4 linked regions of the Caenorhabditis elegans genome follow. The main gene of each other region encodes a partner of the protein of the gene in region 4 in a complex. Each region holds a gene or a part of one and is shown on either strand. Other genes may lie near its edges. The genes, in order: mdt-4, sur-2, mdt-15 and cdk-8.

What was found.
Region 1: cdk-8 (region 4) and mdt-4 share a complex: the UniProt entries of both Caenorhabditis elegans proteins name them as parts of the mediator complex.
Region 2: cdk-8 (region 4) and sur-2 share a complex: the UniProt entries of both Caenorhabditis elegans proteins name them as parts of the mediator complex.
Region 3: cdk-8 (region 4) and mdt-15 share a complex: the UniProt entries of both Caenorhabditis elegans proteins name them as parts of the mediator complex.

Annotation. Positions count from the first base shown.
Region 1 is NC_003280.10:4,941,588-4,945,921, reverse strand, and holds mdt-4 (Mediator of RNA polymerase II transcription subunit 4), read left to right. Parts: upstream 1-1,972; 5' UTR 1,973-1,979; coding exon 1,980-2,057; intron 2,058-2,167; coding exon 2,168-2,422; intron 2,423-2,471; coding exon 2,472-2,726; intron 2,727-3,049; coding exon 3,050-3,286; intron 3,287-3,402; exon of another isoform or gene 3,403-3,569; coding exon 3,570-3,749; coding exon of another isoform or gene 3,750-3,759; 3' UTR 3,760-3,815; downstream 3,816-4,334. Other genes in the region: SURF6 homolog gldi-11, read left to right, coding at 133-186, 242-353, 398-1,257, 1,300-1,596, 1,647-1,742; ZK546.19 (uncharacterized protein), read right to left, coding at 3,604-3,759, 4,047-4,151. UniProt on the Caenorhabditis elegans protein: Component of the Mediator complex, a coactivator involved in the regulated transcription of nearly all RNA polymerase II-dependent genes.
Region 2 is NC_003279.8:14,784,754-14,789,442, forward strand, and holds the start of sur-2 (Mediator of RNA polymerase II transcription subunit 23), read right to left. Parts: upstream 3,051-4,689; 5' UTR 3,044-3,050; coding exon 2,933-3,043; intron 2,868-2,932; coding exon 2,674-2,867; intron 2,590-2,673; coding exon 2,208-2,589; intron 1,210-2,207; coding exon 946-1,209; intron 891-945; coding exon 718-890; intron 1-717. Other genes in the region: F39B2.3 (15-oxoprostaglandin 13-reductase), read right to left, coding at 3,465-4,016, 4,212-4,294, 4,378-4,689. UniProt on the Caenorhabditis elegans protein: Component of the Mediator complex, a coactivator involved in regulated gene transcription of nearly all RNA polymerase II-dependent genes.
Region 3 is NC_003281.10:5,829,575-5,835,291, reverse strand, and holds mdt-15 (Mediator of RNA polymerase II transcription subunit 15), read left to right. Parts: upstream 1-1,546; 5' UTR 1,547-1,634; intron 1,635-1,778; 5' UTR 1,779-1,815; coding exon of another isoform or gene 1,816-1,908; 5' UTR 1,909-1,954; coding exon 1,955-2,010; intron 2,011-2,233; coding exon 2,234-2,457; intron 2,458-2,507; coding exon 2,508-2,998; intron 2,999-3,070; coding exon 3,071-4,225; intron 4,226-4,575; coding exon 4,576-4,893; intron 4,894-4,971; coding exon 4,972-5,070; 3' UTR 5,071-5,167; downstream 5,168-5,717. Other genes in the region: R12B2.6 (uncharacterized protein), read left to right, coding at 1,139-1,270; R12B2.13 (uncharacterized protein), read left to right, coding at 1,816-1,908. UniProt on the Caenorhabditis elegans protein: Component of the Mediator complex, a coactivator involved in regulated gene transcription of nearly all RNA polymerase II-dependent genes.
Region 4 is NC_003279.8:8,700,684-8,706,368, reverse strand, and holds cdk-8 (Cyclin-dependent kinase 8), read right to left. Parts: upstream 3,904-5,685; 5' UTR 3,808-3,903; coding exon 3,803-3,807; intron 3,754-3,802; coding exon 3,514-3,753; intron 3,390-3,513; coding exon 3,202-3,389; intron 3,151-3,201; coding exon 3,054-3,150; intron 3,005-3,053; coding exon 2,869-3,004; intron 2,823-2,868; coding exon 2,701-2,822; intron 2,651-2,700; coding exon 2,552-2,650; intron 2,171-2,551; coding exon 2,011-2,170; intron 1,963-2,010; coding exon 1,879-1,962; intron 1,825-1,878; coding exon 1,609-1,824; intron 1,561-1,608; coding exon 1,465-1,560; intron 1,015-1,464; coding exon 691-1,014; 3' UTR 544-690; downstream 1-543. Other genes in the region: cle-1 (Fibronectin type-III domain-containing protein), read left to right, coding at 1-50, 100-203, 315-383; tlf-1 (TATA box-binding protein-like 1), read left to right, coding at 4,412-4,449, 4,526-4,652, 4,732-4,842, 4,947-5,028, 5,495-5,610. UniProt on the Caenorhabditis elegans protein: Component of the Mediator complex, a coactivator involved in regulated gene transcription of nearly all RNA polymerase II-dependent genes.

The sequences.
Region 1 (4,334 bases), on a different chromosome or scaffold from region 4:
AACGAAGGTACGACACTCCGCTACCAGAGAAGCGCGTGTTGTTTAGTACAACTTTTTTCGTTTCATTTTTTTCTTAATATTTTAAAAATTAGAGGATTCTCTTTATCAAAATACTAATTTTAAGCATTTTAGATGGCAGAAACATTAGAAGCTGTAGAAGATGCAGTGGACATTCTTGAAAAAGAGGTAGCGTACACACATCCTCGAAAAGTGGCCGAGAAACAAAACATTTTAATTTCAGATGCTCTCCTTCTGCAACCTGATTCCAGTTAACTCTTGGGGATTTGATGATGATGTCAAAGAATCATTGAAGATGCGAAAACACAGTTTGGTTAATCGACAACTCAGCAAAAGTAATTTATTGATAAATTTCTTTAAAATTCTGTATGTTTTTCAGAGGAAAGAAAGTCAATGTCTGCACAACAGAAACAACATCTGGCGAAAGGCTTAGGATTGGTTCCAAACACTGTTCAAGAAGTCCTCGAGTGGATGTCTAAAAGCAAGCAGCATTCGAAAGTGCAACCACAAAAGGTTGTTGCACCGGTGAAGAGACCAGCGGATCAGAACAAGAATAAAGAAAAAGTAGTGAAGAAAGACCAGAAAAAGCAAGATAAGAAAGCTGATTCTGATTCAGAAGAGGATGATTCATCTGACGACGAGGAGAAAGAAGAAACAGACGAGCCAGTTGCTAAGAAGCAAAAGAAAGAAGAATCTTCAGATGATGATGAAGACAGTGAAGATGGAGAAGAGCCTGAAGGAAATAATGGAGCTGTAGAGGCTGAGGACAGCGATTCAACGGACGAAGAAGAAGAAACACCATCTAAACCCAACAAAACCGTAGCACAATCTACTCTGAAATCGAATGGAAAAATTGACAAGGAGATTCAAAAGTTGGAAGACGATGAAGACAATGAATCCCCCGAAATCAGACGTCAAATCGCTTTGCTGAGACTGCAGAAAAAGCTGAAGGAAATGAAAGTTGAGCGGAAAGGAAAAGGACCGGCGAAGGTAACATCAGCGATGGCTGAAAAAATGGCAGAGGAGAAGCGTTTGAAAAGACGGGAGAGCAAGCTGAAGCTGAAACAAAGAAGAGCAGAGGAGAAGAAAGGAAAAGAGGCAGCAGCTCAAGTGAAGAAAGAGACTGTTGAAAGCACAGAAAATGGCAATGAGCCTGTCGAGAAGCAGAAATCTGGAATTTCATTCAATAATCTCAAGTTTGAAATCAAAGAAGACAAGCAGAGGGGCAAGAAACAAAGAGTGAGTAAAAATATTTTTATCTGAAATATCTGAAATTTTCAGACCGCCAAAAAAGATCGAGCTCTTAAACTTACCGGACGTGACTATAAATCACTTATCGCTAAAGTCGAAGAGACAAAAGCAACAATTGCCAAAGTTCGCGAAGCTGATCCACATAAGGCTACCATCATGGAAGATGAGCTAAAGTGGGAGAAAACACTGAAAAGAGCAGCTGGTGGAAAAGTGAAAGATAATTTGGGAATGCTCAAGAAGGCTTTGGTGAAGAAGAATAAGATGAAGGATAGAAGAAAGCAGAAATGGGAGAACCGAGAGAATAAGACGGAGGGAGAGAAGCAAACGGTATGTTGATTGGTAGAAAATCCTTTAAGATTTGAATTTTTATTTTTCAGAAGCAAGACAAGAGAAAGAAGAATCTCCAGAAGCGCATCGATGACGTCAAGAAGAGAAAGATGAACAAGTTGAGAAACAAGGGAAGAATCCTCTAAACAACACACATTTATCCGCTTTTAATTTCTCGTTGTTGAACATTTTTTTGTTAATTTTTACTGTTAACTTTTTTCTTTAAATCTGTGGCCTGTTGTTAAGTTTTTAAGTTTTCAAATTATACTAAATTCTTTGAAAAATATTCTCTTTTTTTTTGAAACTTGTGCCGTTGTTTCGGTAATTAATTATTTTAAAAGTTGTTAATGTATGTTCGATGGTTGTATTGTTCTAGATCTCAAATGGCAGAAACAGATGAACGAAGTCTACGGGATTTGCTCCTGGAATCTGCAGATGATTTGGAGCATATTGTTAAAATGGTACGTTCTAAAAAAATTTGAAACAATATTATAGTTTATTTTAAAATTACTTTTTACTGTGAGTTCATCTTATAGAATTCATGAACCCACATAATCAATTATTGTTTCAGATCGTCGATACACTCATCAATCGGGACAAAAGTGTTATGCTGAAAAATGGAGAAACCGTTACGAACATTATCAAGCTGTTTGACTCAAAACAGGATAGCATAAAGACTTTGCTGAAGAGGGTTCCTGAGTTTCAAGAACGAGAGCAGCTCATTCGGACGCTTGAAGCCCACGTGGAGAAACGAGACGAAGTTATTCAACAACTTGAAACGAATTTGAAGTCATGTGAGGTGGCTCTGACGCGATCTTGTTTTCATGTAAATTTTGTTGGAAACAAAGACTTTTTTCGAAATACGTTTATTTCAGGCAAACCAGAAGCTCAAGCAAATGAAAGAAGCTGAATTGAGACCAGTCAATAGTGAGATGCTCATCAAACTGGCTCATCAGATCAGTAAGCACAACTCCGTATCTGCACCACTCACTTGGCAAATGGGAGATCCATCGCGTCCGTTTCCTCAGGAACACGAATTTCGAGCTGGTCACCTATTGAATTCAAAAGTTCAGAGCACTGGACCTCAGCTTTTACCCGGAAAGAACGTCGCTCAGAGGCCGCTTATTACGGTATGTTTATGGAAACTTGTTGAAATGTGAATCCTCACCTGAAATATTTGATAAATGCATTTATAAATGCATTTATATAAATGCAATACTTCTAATGTTTTCTACGTTAATCTGAAATTCTTTTCACACTGTAACCGAACAGCTGTGAATCACGTGATTTATGTCTTATCTTCTTACATTATCTAACAGTCATTCCTTCTAATGATCAAATTATGAGTGATAAGAAATATTCAGTTCATATTGTGATCTCTTTCCTTCTACGTTATTCGTAGTAAATTTTATAAATAAAATTAAGATTCAACGTTCAATCAATATTATTTCAGTCTCCATCCGCATCCTCATCCAACGGTGGAACAGCTCCAATTCGAACTGTCGGCACTCCTCTTATTAATTCTGCTCCGACTGGAGATTTCAGTCCACGAACTGGTTTTGGCACCGACGAGCCTCCACCGATTCAACAGCAAGTACTCCGTGGAGCCACTCCAAATGAAAAGCAATGGCAGAATCCGGGAGTTTCAGGAGCCACCTCAACGCAATCCCCTTACAACCGTGTCTCGCAGGTCAGTGCAAACCGAGTGTACATAGACAGTGTTACTGGCGGCCCGCAAATGATGCACGGGTGGCGCAGTGGTAACGCGTTTGCCCGTTGTTCAGCTGTCCACCAGTTCGATTCTCAATGCACACAGAAAGTCGAGATTGCCGGCTTCAAAGGCTTTATCGTTGATTACGTGTGCTATAACAACGCCATAGGTATCATTCTTCGTCTTCTTAGGCGCGGAACATCTAAATATGGCTACATTTATCTGCTATTTTATAATTTTCCAATAAATAACATATTTTCAGAGTCCTTCTTCCTCGCCAAACGTGAAGCTGAAAATTACTGGACTTCCGAATCGTCCAGGAGGTATCGATCAAGTTCAAGATGTGCGGGATGTCGAACAAATGTCGTCGGACAGCTCCAACTCGTCAGATAGTTCAGATGATGAAGGCGCATCGAAAAAGACTGGCAGTAGCAATAAATAATGAAAGATCTCTGTAAATTCTGGTATTTTACTTATTGTACGTTGATAAATAAACACAATTTTCTATATATCTTGTGTTTAACAGTGACACTAACTGATTGCATGTGGTTCAGTGTCCACGCCATGTTTACCGCTATGCCAGCTGCCTTTCTTTCTTTCTTTATGTCCTCTAATCTATTTACTCCTTGAACTTTTTTTTCAACAATTCTAGTAACTAATTATATTTAGAAATATGCCAAATTTTGGAATATACCTAAGTTAGCTTTTGATTCAAATCTTATTTTAAAAAAACACTCACCCCATCTAGAGACGCAGAAACGAAAGGGACCACCCATGACAAGAGAGATGCGGAGTACGTGAAAAGATGCACAAAACATGTTGCAGTGAAAGTGTTGTTAGCCATCACTTTTTTTTGTTTTTGTGGGCTCAAATCAGTTTGAAGAAAAGTTGAAGTTGTAAAATTTCGCCTCCTTTCGTTTTTTATGTCATTTTATATTACTTGCCCTTTGGTAATAGATAAGAAATTATCTCTCCCATCAGACACATTCCCACACATCTTCTTTTGACTTGCCTCCACACAACTAAT
Region 2 (4,689 bases), 6.1 Mb from region 4:
TTTTTCCAGATTTTCGAGAATATCTATTATCCAAAACTTCTCTTTTTGGATTTTTTAAAAGAAAAAGTTACAAGAAAAATTAAAGATTTTGGTTTTCAATTTTTCTAAATGTCGGAAATCTAAAGTTTTGTTTTTTGGTAAATTTTTTTTTAAAAACATTTCAAGAAAATCTTAAGTTTCGGTATTTTTTTTCGAAATTTTATTTAAGAAGTGAAAAATTGGATTTTTCTGGAATTTTCTAAGAATAATTGAAAAAAAGAAATATTTTGGTTTTTCGATTTTTTTTTGAAGGTCTAAAAGTCAAGAACATTCAGATTTTTGAAGAATTTTCAAAAGATTTTGTTTAAATTATAGCTTTTATCCTAAGAATTTTGATTTTGGATTTTTTTTTCCTTCAGAAATAAACCAAAAATTGAAACGCTTAGTTTTTAAATTAAATTATTAGCTCTACTTTCAAATTTCTGGCTTTTCAAGACAATTTTGAAATTCAAAACTTGTGTTTTTCAAATAGAATCTTTTTTTTTTCGATTTTCTCTTTGAAAAACCCAAAAATTTAGCTTTCCTGAATGTCGGAAATCGAAATGTTCGGATTTTTTAGAATTTTACTTTAAAAGTAAAAAATTGGATTTTTTTTCTGAATTTGCGAAAAATAATTGAAAAAAGGAATATTTTTGTTTTTCGGGTTTCGCAAAATCGAAAAATTTGAAATACACTAACAATAAATGTTGTGTAATCCCATAAATAACAATATTAACAATATTGTCCCATTGATATCGTGGAATTGGCTCAGTTTCCGGTAGAGATTCTGCTTCGGCCATTGATTCACATATCATTACAGATATCAACATTTCCCAATTTGTCTTTGTCTTCGTTTTGCTCGGAGGATGAAGCTGAAACTTAATTCGGGATAAGTTATTTAAAATATATATATTCTCAATTTCATACCGAGTCCTTTCCCAATGGCTGACGAAGAATCATGTAGAGGGTGTACAAGTATGTAGAAGTATGTTCAGGACGATATGGAAGTGTATGATGAGGTTGAACAATTGTATTACTGGCATTTAATCCATGTTCTTCCCAACACGATGTTAATGGATAGAATGATGGATGTAGTGGAATGGGGTAAACGAATCCACGGCCACACACGTGGGATAGGTCGGCAATTGGTCGGAAATGGACGGATAAGCTTGCCAGTTTCTCCGTTAGTCTCTGTAATATTTGGCATTTTAATTTAATCTTAAGAAATATAGGCTTGGTAAATGAATCGAGATGGGTCGATCCGTGACTCATCTCGAGCCGCTTTTTGCAAAAAAAATCCACAATTGCCGGAATTGAAATTTCCGGCAAATCAGCAGATTGCCGGAAAATCAGCAAATTGCCGAAATTTTTCGGCAAATTGTGGTTTTGTACATTCAGATAATTTTTCGTCGATGAAGGTGATTTTTCAGTCAATCAGCATACAAATCAGGGGTGTGTGGCAAACGATTTTTTCGGCAAATCGGCAAAGTGCCGGAATTGAAATTTCCGGCAAATCGTGAAACCGGCAAATTTCCGAATTTACCGGAAAAATACCAATTGTCGAAAATTTTTGGCAAATTGTGGTTTCGCACTAATTTTTTGGGAATTTCAGAATTGTACGCATCCTGTGAGTGTTTGAATGTTTTTTTCTACATCTTTTTTGAAAAGTAAGCAAATTCTATAAAAATATCTGAGGAAAAGGGAAAAACAGCCCAAAAAGTCACAGTTTTAAGTGTTTCAGTCTTATGAAAAAATCCCTCAAAACATTTGCGGAAAATTTAACATCCGGTAAACGGCAAATCGGTAAACCAGCAAATTGCCCGATTTGCCGAACGGTAATTGCCGCCCACCCTTGGTAAAAACTTCAAATAAAATGTTGAGAAACTGAAAATTTAGAAATCAGAAGAAATTTCCCGTCATTTTTTTATGGCTTAAATTAAGTTTTTTAAAACTTCTGTAGTATTCAATTTGGTTTACTTTCTGTAACTCAAAAACTAAATGCACAGAAATTAGAAACTTTGCGAGAATGGTCGAACTTTTTTTTGGTTTCCGCCAAAAAAAAATTCGACTTTTTGAATGTAGAGAGATCTTTTTTTTGTGTTTTTTTTGCCGAAAAAAAAAATTAACAAATCTAAATTTTTACATTGTCTTTATATTTTCAGCAATTTTTTTTAAAATTTTCCCCTCACCGGCAGCATAAGCGCCTGTTTCGGCATTCCTCTCATAATTTCTGATAATGTGATGAGTGGAGGCATCAAATTGGAGTCTCTATCCACAATATGCAGTATTACATTCTCAACAATGCGGATTTCGTTTACTTGCTCCGGAGATAGTGAATACGGTAGGCGACGGAGCTGTGATTCCAGAATATATCGGAGGATATTCCGAATTCCTTTGTAATCGATTTTTGGAATGCAATCATTGATGAATTTCCATTTTTCTTGGCATATTCTACTGCATAATCGGAAGTCCGAAGTCATTATGAGTCCTTCTGCGCACAGATTCGTTGAAATCGCACCTTTTTGATGAGCATATCGGAGAAGCTGATCTACGACACGTTCGTAGTTTGTTCTGGAATAAAACACTGTTAAAACCTCTGATTATATGCAAAAGAACTGTTAAAATTGTTTTTTTTTCGAATTTTTAAATTCTCACCCAACAAAAACTCGATCAGGAGAGTTCTTTTCCGCCACGTGATGAACCATTTTTATTAGCTCTTTCACTAAAGATTGTTTTTCTTTTTCTTCCATTTTACTCATCATATTATTGAATTGAATCCGTAAAATCGCCGTCTCGTCGCCAATATTCGACGTAAGAGGTCGAAAAAATTTTCTTGTGTGGTTTTCTTCCTAGAATATATTTTTATGAGTTATGTTTAATTTTTTAAGCGTTATTTTTGATTTAAAAAACTCACAACGAGACTTTTAATTTGACTCTTTATTCGATTGACTTCCTGAACAAATTGCGGAGAGCACGTGTCATCCATTTCAATTGTATCTTCTGCGGAACCAGGTTTATCCGTCATTTTGTTGCCTGAAAATGTAATAATTTTCAAAAGAAAAATGTTAAAATAATAAATTGAAACAAAATAGGTTGATAAAAATTAAAAACGCATTGTTTGAGAAAGATATTACTGCGCCTCTTCTCTCTCACGCGTGACAATAGAGCGCGCTTGGTGTGTGGTCTCTTCGTTCACGCATATTCTGCGGATTTGAACTCTACCAGAGTTCTGCGAAAAAACTACTACATATATAATACATTTCACACATTTAAATATCTTGACTTTTATTGTAGGTAAACTGACATTTGGACTGATTTGCCAAATTTCTGTTGAAAATCAGTTTCAAGAAGCTGAAATCTAGATTAATTTATTTTTTTCATATCTTCATAAAAAGTACAGTTTATTCTCATTTACATTCCTTTAAATGGCGTGTTAAAATAATGAATTAATGTTCGATTTGCACTACAAGATTTCCTTTCGCTCCCTTGTTGTTCATAATTTCCTCATGAGCCAGTCCTAATTGCTCGAGACGATACAATTTGTTTATAAGTGGACGAAACTCGGTTTCCTTCAAGAATGAGACAATGTTGATGCCAAAGTCCAAGAGCTCAGCCTCGGAAGACATTCCCAATGCTACACCGTAAACAGCTCCTTCTGTAACCATAAGTTGTCTTGCGTTGATCGTGGTCTCGGCGCGATTTCCAATTACTGCAACTCTACCACGTGGAGCCAGCAATCCGAGGTCCGTGTTCAGATTTGTGTGAGCAGCCATTTCGAAAATGTGGTTGAAGCCTCCTGGATAATCATTTTTCATTTTCGACACATATTGCTTATCCGAATGATTATAGACATTCCGTGCACCAAGACTCTTCACGAACCGGATCCCATCAGCAGATCCAGCAGTGCCAACAGCTTCAATGTTCCTCCAGGCAGCCAGCTGCATCAGTGCACTTCCCACTCCACCAGATGCTCCGTGTACAAGTATAACGTCGCCAGTCTGAGAAGAGAATTAGTTTTGGGAGGGAACAGCAGATGGTCGTATTTTAGACCGCCCCTTGTTTGAGATGGAACAGATGGTCAAGTTGGCTTTGTAAAGATTGATTTGTATTGATTTTGCCTCCTAATTTTGATACGTTTTTGCCAAAATTTTAATATTCTCTATGAACCATTTAATAATAAATAAAAGTCAAACCTTTGCACCAGCAAGATGAAACAATGCACGATAAGCGGTAAGATAAGGCACTCCGAGAGAAGCTCCTTCCTCAAACGAAACTCCTGAAATGAGATTTTAGCTATATCTTAGGTCTCGCCACGCGGGCAACTAGCTACAGTAACCCGTTGCGCAATGATTCTTTTACCTTCCGGCAACTCGAATGGTCGATTCACCGCAACATACTCTGCTGTACTGTCCGCTTCTGATCCATACCAGACTCGATCGCCGACTTTCACATTTTTAACGCTTTCTCCCACAAGTTCGACGAATCCGGCTCCATCTTTTCCTGGTACATATGGAAGATTTGGTAGTTTTCCATACTGACCAGCACGAATATATGTGTCAACTGGATTGACACCGGCAGCGTAATTCCGAACGAGAACCTGGTTTTTTTCAAGCCTGGGCATATCACTCTCGACGGCTTCTATGACATCAGGTGCTCCGAATCGTCGGACTA
Region 3 (5,717 bases), on a different chromosome or scaffold from region 4:
TAAATGATTTGCTCCCCCTTTTCGTTTTCTTTTTCTTCTTGCGTTGATTTTTCACATTGTTATTGCACTTGGCAGTGTCGTATTTTTGTGTTTTTATTTTGACCCATAAGTTCTAATACGATATCTTAGGCTCCCAGCTTGACTGGTGCTCTCATAATTTGAAATCAGAAGTTTTTCTTTTAAAAATTGAAAAAAGTGCACATTTTTCTTAAATTTTGAAGCTAAATATTTGAAATCTTCCACACTTCTAGTTTAATTCTCGATAACATCTGATAATTCTTTCCAAAATTTCAGGTCGAGCTGGCAAACATGGAAAAGCAATCACATTCCTCACACCTGACGATACTGCCGTCTATTTCGACTTGAAGCAGGTAAAAATTGTGGACGGACACCTTCCAACACACGTGTAATTGGTTTACTTTCCAGTGCGCGCTAACCGAATTCCCTTTCGTCTTTTTTCGCGCGCGCTCTCCGGCACTTCACACATGTGTTGTGGTGCTGGAAGGTTGCCTAATTTCTTGCACTTGAGCTGGTTTTCTCTCTGCGACGAAAATGGATTTTTTGTTAGGCGGAAAACGGAATTCGTTTTTTTTGTAAGAAAATGAAAATTATTCGGGAATGATAAGACCGGTAAAACGTTCCATAAGATAAGAACATATTTCAGCGTTCTAGAGCAATTTAAAACAAAAAAATGTTGTGATTAATTCTACAATTTTTGCGCCGAAAATACGGTACCCGGTCTCGACACGACAGAAATTGTTGTTAACTGCGAAAGGTCTGCGTCTTTAAAGAGTTCGGTAACTTCAAATTTTCATTACTGCGGTAATTTCAAATTTTCATTTCATTGAGTTTTCCCATAAATTCATAAATATATTTTTTTATCGAAAAACAATGAAAAATCTTTAAAAATTCGACTGAGATTAAAGTTTGGAGTTACAGTACTCTTTAAAGGCGCACACCTTTCACATTCATCAAGAGAGTGTCGTGTCGAGACCGGGTGCCGTTTTTTTGTCAAAAACTAGAAGAATTACGTTGACGCGAAATGTATGTCCCCTTGCTTTACAAAATTTTATACACAAAACATTTAATTTTTAAATTTTCCAGGTTCTCGTTGAATTGCCTGCGTCGTTATGCCCGAATGGACTCGCGGAACATGATGCTGCACGGAGCAAACCTAGACAATTCACATCTTGATGTGAAAGTGAACTTTTTGTTTGAAAATTTCAAACATTTTTCAGTTTTTTTAAAACTTACCAAATCTTCCAAATAATACTAACCACCACATATCTTCCATTAAAAAATTTAACGTTTTTCAGCGTTCTGAATATCTTATCTCTCTGGTCCATTTCTCCTACAGAATATCTCTATCTCATAATTGCCTATTTTTATTTGTTTTTCTTTCTTAATTTCAAGCGTTTGGGATATCTTATCTCTCTCAACTCCGTTTATTTTTTTCTCCTTATCCGTCTCCTTATCCGTATTCCTTTATTATTAATCTCTTCTTCGTTCAACATCGCTAAATATTTTTTTCAATTCCTAATTTCAGGTCAAACCGGGGAACGAATCAAAAAGTGATTTTGCCGTCGGCGATCCGAAAATTTTGCCGGCTCGTCGACTATTGACGAGAACAAGAGGTGAGAAAATGGGGAACTTTTTGATATTTCCATCCTGATCTTTTGTGAATTGAAAGTTGAATCACAATAGATCGATGCACCATAATACAAAAAGTGACAATTTTTCCCCACTTTCAACCATCCATTATTCTATTTCTTTTGCAGGAATCGTCGTTATTTTTCGTTTGCCGCGTTCGTCGTTTTGATTTGTTCTTCATTTTCCTTCTTGTCGATAATTGTGTGTGAATCAAGACGCTCAGAAAGCCGCCGCCACGTTGACGTCGACGGTTGTTGAATCGCTTGCAAAAGCAACATTTCAAAAACAAGAGCAGAGTAGAAAGATGAGCGAAGAGGATTGGCCTTCGCCGAAATTTCGAGAGCATGTTATTCAGAGACTGTAAGCTTTTTTTAAAGGAATATTTTTTTGATAACCGAGAAAACATTTTAAAAAATTTTTTTTTTGTTGAAAATTTCCAAAAATTTCCATTCAAAATTTTGATAAATTCCCAAGTATTTGTAAATTATAAACCATAGGAGCTGATGTCACAAATGTATCCAGGCTGTACTCTTTTTAAAAATGAAAAAAAAATCCCGAAATATAAAAATTTTCCAATTTTCAGTGAGCCTGAGTTGGCGAGAAACCGGCAGAATGCCCCAAATTTACCAGTACCCGGTGACGCGAGGCAGGTCGAAGAATATGTGTTCGCAAAGTGTATGTCGAAGGACGAATATATGAGGACGATCGCAAAAGTGATTAATGCTATCAATTGTAATAGTAAATCAGCGGCAGTGCCTTCCGTGTTACAACCATCACAGTTTCATAGTCCGCCGTGTACGACAGCAGGTAACTTTTTGTAGTTTTTTGTGGCAACGAAAATCTAAAATTTCAATTAGCTCTATTAGGAAACACTCCGGCTGGCGGAACACCCGGATATCGAGCTCCTGTGCCTCCAGATCCACAACCAACATCAGCTCAGGCAAGAAATCCACCTGTTACCGTAGCAACAACACAGGCATCAACAACTCCATCAGCACCAAATCCGCCAGGAGGATTGCCTGCTCCATCAGCTTCTGCCACTGCTGCTGTTGCCGCCGCGGTTGCTTCATTTCCATCACCAGATACAAGTATTCGTCCAGGTGGACAGATCACTCCAGGATCACAGGCACCCGGTGGAGGTCCGACGCCGGCACCAAATGTTCCATTCCCAAATGGAAGCAGCCAGATGAATGGTGGACCAGCAATGGGTCAGCCACCACCGCAAATGGGTGCTCCAAATATGGGTGGACCACCGAATGGATACGGTGGTTACGGTATGATGAATGGACCACCTGGTAGTGGTGCTCCAATGGGTGGAAATCCGTACAATCAGCAGATTAAAAAGGATGTGAGTTTATTTTTCAAATGTATTTTTTTTTAATCTGCTAATTTTTCAATTTTTGATTAATTTTTTTTTCAGATGGATCAAGCTCGTCCTTGGGATCCTTCAGCACATATGTATCAACAACAACCACAATGGGGTGCAATGCCACCACAACAACCACATGGATATCCTGGAAGACCAATGAACGGTCAAGGAGCCACTCCAACCGGTCCTTCATCAGTTCTTGAATCACTTATCAATCAGCCTCAACAATATCCAGGACATCACAATCAGATGGGCCCACCTGGAGATCGAAATGTTGCTGCTCAACGTGCAGCTGCCCAACAACAGCAACAACAACAACAACAGCAGCAACAGCAACGACCCGGAATGGTTCCAAACCAGGGAATGATGAGTTCCGAGGATCAAACCGTGTATTCTGCGAAATTGAGAAATATGCGTGGAAGCTGCGACAGTTTGAGAACACGAGCAAGGCAATGCAGACATGAGGGTAACCATGAAGCTGCTCACAAGCTTGAGGTTATGCTCAGTGTGCTCGAAGGAAAACGTGTGGTTAGCCTTGAATACTTGAACCATTTGGAGATGTGGATTGCCAGAAAGCAAGACTTCTTGAATATTGCTCCAATGTCACAGAATCAGAATCATATGGGAATGAACGATCCGATGATGAACGGTGAACATGCTATGTTGGGTAATGGTCAGGTGCCAAATCCCTACGGAGGACATCCAGGTTATGGACATCAGCAGTATATGGGACCTCCACCACCACATATGCAAATGCATCAACCACCAATGTGGCATCAACAGCAACACCAACAGCAGCAACGAATGATGCCACAGGATCATATGATGATGCAGGGTGGAGGTGGTCCAGTTCATGGAATGTATCGTGGAGATATGGGACACGATCCGATGACATCACCAGTCAACAATCATCGTCATGCTCCATACCCGAATCCTGCAGCGATGAGAAACAATATGAGAATGCCAAATGGTCCTGGACCAATTGGAAGAGATCGTAATTCGATGAGTGGATCAAGTATGTCAGGTCCAAGTTCTGGAGCCCCTTCAATGAATCCAATGGGTACACCGAATCAAAAAATGGGAACACCTGGATCAATGGGTGGAATGTCAGGACTTGATGATCTGAACTATGATGATTTCCTTCCAAACCCAACGCCGATTGATGCACTTCAGCCAACATTGCACGTCGGGCAGAATTCGATGAATGTAAGTTTTATATTAAAAATTGAGTTTCTCAGCTTTCAAAAAAAAAAAACACACAAAGTATCCTCAAATGATTTTTGAAAAAAGTGAAAAATAATTGTGTCGCCGAAAACACGAAAAAAAAAATCGAAAAACGAAAAACCTCTGATCTCAAACAGGGACACCAAAAACATTTTAGACCAAAAACAAAACATTTTCGTATTTTTTCTTCTCCCGACTAAAAATCAACATTTTCGCAATTCAGTTTTTTTTTCTTTTTTTGGTCCGAAAAAACCAACAAGATTACCAAAAAATCTATTTTTACAAAAAAAAAATCAACAGCCAATCAATAATCTCAATCAATAAATATTCAGGCTGGTCCACCAGTTCAACGATCAAATCTCAATGAAACAGCAAGAAAGGAACTTCAAATCCTTGATGCTCGATTCGAGATTGATCCAAACCATCAACGTCATGATGCCAATCATATCATTGTCGTCTGTAAAATCCGTAATCAACAGTTCCCACCACTTCGACTCGTTGTTCCAACCACTTATCCAGCTGGAAATGTGACTGTAGATCGAGCAGTCATTGATTTGGATGCATATTTGTATGATGATCTACAAAATTCAGTATATGAGAGATTATCACGACCCGGTCTTTCGTCAATTACTGACTATTTGAATGCTTGGGTAAGTTCTTTCGCTGAGAAAGGGAAATTTATGAAAATTGCACTTCAAATTGAATTTTAAATTTATAATTTTCTACAGGAAGAACAAGTGAATCAATACCAAAACCAGACAAGCGGTGGTCTAGACGTCGCTTTCAACGTGGGCAACGATTTCTTCTACGATAATCTTAACTTGTAAGTTAGGTAGAGTGCATTAAGTTTCTTTTTTTGTGCCTGCTCACTAAAAGTTTTGTTATTCAATGTTTATTTTTGTAAAATAATAAAAAATATGAAAAACATTATAAAATAAAGTTGGAAGTGAAAAAATTCCGGAAAGTTTTAATTTTTGTAATAACTTTACAAAAAGTATTACTCAAACGCGAAAGTTTACGATTTTTCACCAAAATTACGGTAACCGGTCTCGACACGAAAAATGTTGGTCAAATGCGAAAATATGTGCGTCTTTAAAGAGTACTCTATTTTTTCATCGTTTTTTGATTAAAAAAATATATACCTGTCAATCTAAAAAAAATACCCGAATTTGACAATGAAAACACAATTAATATGATTTGAAACATGATTTTAAAATTACAGTACTCTTTAAAAACGCAAACCTTTAAAAAAATTAGAAGACAGTTTTTTTTAAACAAACTGTTTTCTTCTCAATCAATGTTTTCTAATTTTCAGGTCAAATCCGTTCTAAACTCCGCCTCGTCTGAATTGAATTGCTCAGTTGCACAAAACCTGTACAAAAAAGAAAATCGAGTCTTCGTGGAATGGATTCAGTTGTTGTTGTCCTCTATAAATGATTGTTTTGCCTCCTCCTCCTATCATCAGCTTGCCCTT
Region 4 (5,685 bases):
TGGTGGAATAAGAGCTGAACAATACTGTGATGGATGGAGAAGAGCCGATTGTAATTTTTGAGAAATTGAAGACAATTTTTAGAATATAATTTATTGCAGCATCTCTGACTTCTTTGGCAGGTCACATCTCATCGAATACAAGCATTTTCCAATCAAGTGGATCCGAAAAATGTGAAAATAAATTAGTGGTATTGTGTGTTGAGGTTCGTTTTTTATTTAAATTGAAGTGTTCAAACGATCGTTGTGAGACCATCAGAGAAAAAGAAATATTATTTCCAAACAGCTTTAAAATCTTAAAATTAAAATGTTTGCAGAACATGTCCAAGTATCACGGTGACCGAATTCTCCGCTTGCATCGAATCACATCCGACTTCAAAAAATGAACGACTTCCAATATAGAATTTCAATTTTAAAATTGTTTTAAATGATTATACCCCAACCTTACGATGAAAAAATCTCGAACCCCCCCTGAAAAACGGCTTCATTCACTCATTTTGCTTTGTTTTCTATTTTGAATTAAACCAAAAAAATCTTTCCGAATTTGATTTTGATAACTGCCACGTATTTTCTCAATTTTATTGTGAACGTATTTCAAAAAAATACAATTTACAAAGCCTTCAAATTACACATGACGAGCAATATTAGTTTGATGTGAGTACTATAGATACATACATGTTACAAATGAAATGTTTATCGATGATATTGTTGTTGCCATTGCTGTTGTTGCTGTTGATTTGGACCGGGTTGCTGTTGTCCCATTTGAGGGGGAGCCATTCCACGACCAGGCATATATCCTTGTGGTGGAACTCCTGGAGCACGCATGCCCATTTGCATTCCCATTTGTGGATTCATATATCCTTGAGGTCCTGGTCCAGGAACTGCTCCTGTTGGTTGTCCTGGTCGTTGTGGATAGTAGCCGGATGGTCCCGGTTGTTGCATCATTTGCACCATTGGTGGACCTTGTTGCGGGTGATAGTCTTGTGGAGCACCGTATGGAGGAGGCATCGGTGCATACTGCAATTGTAGAATTGAACATAAGAATTTGAAAAGTGGAGTATTGCCATAGGGAAAAATGATGAAAATCACTCCTATGATCTTAAAATGACCCAATATCCTAGTAACGCTTTTCAACAATTTTTCAAAATAGTTTTACCTACAGTAAAAAGTGAAAATTACTTCATCTACCATGATTTGGAAATAAACCAAAAATTATCAAAATTAGTTTCTATCTACTATTTTGCAACGATTAACGAATATTTCAAGAAATTTCAATTTTTGAAAGTTTGGCAATTTACCAACAAAAAAATTATAAATCATTTTACAAAAATTTGCAAATTCAACAATCAATCTATCAAAATTTGCGAAATTTGGAAATTTACAAAAACTTTGAAAATTTGAAATCCTTAATTATGATATTCAGCCATGTTATGTTTTTTATTATTATTTTCTAATTAAAAAGCTTACTCTTCCAACAGGAACATTTCCCATTCTCATCATTTTTGCTTGTGGTCCTTCATCCATTCCACCTTGCATTGGATCATGCATTCCTTGATATTGCATCTGAACAGAAAAAGTTAACTTTTCATTCTGAATATTTAGAAAACTGACATGATGCTGTTGTGGATGCTGTTGTTGCTGCATCATTTGATGTGGATGTCCATCTGGAGCAACAACTCCGGGATGTGCTCCACCCATTGGTGGTTGTCCCATCTGAGGTTGTACCATTTGAGGTTGTCCCATCATTTGTTGCTGTCCCATTTGTGGTTGTTGTTGCATTTGAACTTGTTGTTGTTGATGCTGTTGTTGTGCTTGATCTGGTGCAACCTGTAAAAGAATCTTGGGAACATTTGCAGTGTATTCAACAATTGATGCCCTTACCGTCATCTGCTGTTCCTTCTTCGCGTATGGAATTGGATATTTATTGAACACGTCGTCAGTCTCCCTTGGTGGTCTTTCCATTTTCTGCAAATGGTTTTTTCAAATATTATTCAAATTAAATTTCAAACGAACTCTAAAATAAATATCATTCATCGCTTCTTCACAACTGACACGTTTTGTAGGGTCAACTGTGAGCAATTTGACAAGTAATCTATATGGAGAGCTTTGTGAATTGATTTTCCATTTATCAAAGTATCGATGCAAGCTGTTTGGAAATGTTTGAATTGGTGTTCTGAAAATTGTTTATTTATAATTATGTAAAACTTTTTTAAAGCCGTTATATATTGCAATACAAATTCACACATCCGAAATTCTCTCAAATTCGGAAATGCCACAAAAAATGGAAAAAATCGCAAGAATGAAAAACCAACTTTTGAAATCGCGATTTTCAATTGTTTGAATTGCCACCTAAATGAGAACTGCGACCAATCAGCGACTCGTTTTTTAATCTTGGATTTTTAATTCTTTCGCGATTTTTTTTTCCTTTTTTTGTGGTATTTCCTAATTTGAGACTAATTCGGTTTCATTGAAGCCATTCACGCTACTGAAAAAAATAATGTGCCTTTAAGTAATCTATCAAAATAAATTTGAAAACTTTTATATTATAATTTACCCTTCATTTCTAGCATCGCTTAGAAGTCTTTGATGATCCGGCATTTTCTTCATATCAGGCCAATCAGCATCTGATGGGTATCCGAGTAGATGGAATATTCTTTAAAAATTTCGAATAGTTAATGATTTTAATTTCCAAAAAATCTGTACCTTTTCACTTGATCATAGTGATATGGATTTTGTGCCTTGATGTCTTCCTCTTTACAGAAAAATAATGGTTCAGCGGTAAGAAGTTCGGCAAAAATGCATCCGATAGCCCATACGTCAATAGCCTGAGATTATGCATTTTTTCCTTATTAAATAGATTTTTCAACGTACCTTTGTATAATGCTTTGCTCCGAGAAGCAATTCAGGTGCTCTGTACCAGAATGTGACAACTACTGGATCTAATTCAGCCATCGGTTTCAGAGGATTTGCATAGATTCTTGAAAATCCCAAATCAGCAATTTTTACCCTAGAATTATTATTTCATATTATCGCATAAATTTCAAATTCAGTCAAACCTTCCTCTCATGTCAGGTGGTCCATCACCCATTAATAGAATATTTGCTGGTTTGAGATCTCGATGTAGTACCCAGTTTGAATGTAAATAATGCATTCCTGAATATTTTAAAATACAGTTGAGTGAAATTGGATTTTAGAATTTCAAACCTGATAAAATTTGAAACAATATATTTTTGACCATATTCCGTGGCACCATAATTGGGACTTTCTTGCTTTTAGCTGTTCGATGATGTTTGATAACGTGCCAGAGATCGTGTTCAGCATAATCCAATAAAAGCCAGACTTTTTTTTCGTTGGTAAGAAATACACGTTGAAGACAGATTAAATTCGGATGCCTGAAACATTTTTTTTTTTTGAATATCTACTTCAGTTTTTTTTTCGAATTTTAGATTATAAAAAGGGGAAAATCTCGAATTCAATCTTCATTTTAAATTAATATTATTTAATCGGTGAAATTACCTTAATTCTCTGAATAGAGCAATTTCTCTGCATGCAGACATTGAAAATCCTTGTCCCTCAATCATTTTTAATGCGTATTCTTTGTTAGGAAATTGTCCATTTTGCTTTTTCGGAACTGCTTTATAAACTAATCCATATGTTCCTCTGCCGATTTCTTTTGAATTTTCAAAGTAGAAAAGGTCTTCTACTCTCTCTCGACGCTGTGCCAATTGTTTTTTGAAGTTTTCATCAATCATTAATCTGCAATAGGGATTTTCTGATTTATTTATAGTGCAAATTTCCAACTTACGTCATTTTTCAGTTACTACAGCGAATACTACTCAGTCTTTATGCCAGGAAAATCGATGTCCAGAAAAACGAAAATTAAAATTGAAGTGTACGGTAAGGAAGTCCGCAAACACTGCACCCACGTACTAAACACCAAATATCACGACATCTTCGTCGGTCTTCGTTTTCTAGCACTTTTTCTTGTGGCAAATTCTCGCCGAACGTCACTTCTTCTTCCCAAAGAACACAGCGTTAAGACTGAAAAATCAATAAATTAACTAATCAATAAATGCCACATGTCTAACAGACAAATAACTAGGAGGAATGCACATTCAGAGAGGATACTCTGGTTTGGCAGCGAATAACGCTTTCAATCGATCCTGTAACCGCGTTTGCCTCAAATCAGTTTAGAATGAACAAACCGAATATTGTATTTTGGATATTATTTTGTCTGAATTTAAAATAAACTGGTCGTCGGAAATAAATATTTCTTAACTTTTCCAGAATTTTCTAACATAAATCAAAAAATTCTTATGTTCTCACGAAGTCTCGCTCTCTCGTTGTTGCAGATTTTAGCATTTGTCGAGTTTTCAAAAGATAACAACTCAAATTTACAGGCCGATCAGTTCAAATGCAAATGGGTGATCATCAAATGATGGGAAACCAGAGGTATGAGTTGAATTAAAAAATAGCTTGTTCAGTTTTAGTTATTTGGATCAAGAAATCCAATAACAACACTCGAAAGATATTACAGAACTTACGTTCAAAAAGTGATGCCTGCACAAGCTGGTGGTGCAGTATCACAAAATGCCACGTATGTGCAAACGGCAGGAATTCGAACGGTTCATCACGACGGAAACGGACAGCAGAGGGTGAGATTTTGAAGAATATAATCAAATTTTGTTCGAGACAAGACATATGCTTGAATTTATGAATTAAAGTTTATTTCAGATAGTTCAACTACCCCCGGGAGTACGTCAGATTCAGCAAAATGGTGTCGGTCCTGCCTATGTTCGCCAAGTTCCTGGTGGTCAACCAATGCAAGTAAACTTTGGACATCCAGTAAGTCTTTATTATCAGTTTCTCAATCAACATAACAAATTCTAAGAATTGAAACAAAATTTCAAATTCACGAAACTATTTTAATTTTTCAAAAGAAATTGCAGGGAACGATAGCGGGTCGAAATGTTGCAGTTGGTGTTCAAATGCGACCTGTGCAAGGACATAACGTTCAACAAGGTTATCAGAGTAAGTTTTTAATTTTATTTAGAAAATTGATAGTCAATATTTAATTGATGTTATTCAAAACAAAATATTTTTTTTTTTAAATCGGTTTTATTTCAATTTATTTACGGTCTCCGGATGCCGTGTGTTTTATCAATAGAATACAAGTACTACGTATATCTAGAATCGCGTATATGTTTCTGCAATAATTAATTGTTTTATTGGAATAATATTCTAGACACAAATTAACTCTACATTTACATTTCGAATAACTCGATTTCTGATTTTTGAACGATTGAAGTTTCACATATTTTCCAAAAGGAAAAATTAAATATTGATTAAATTTTCACTGTTTTTGCAAACAAAAAAAAATCGAAAACAATCAAAATAATTCTGGAAAATTTCAAACTCGTGTGTTGGGTCTCACATTACGTGTTGTATAAGACATTCTTGTTTGAAAAACTGAAAAGAGTTTTAAATTTAATTCCAGGACAGCAAGTAGCAAATCAAATTCAACAACAAAATCGAGCTGTATTTATGGCACAAAATCAGCAAGGACAACAACAGATAAGCTATGCGCAAGCACAACATCGACAACAACAACAGGTATGTTTCATGATTATCATTTACTATCATTTACTATATATAAAGCGCGTGTCCTTCTGTCCCTATGTAGTTTGA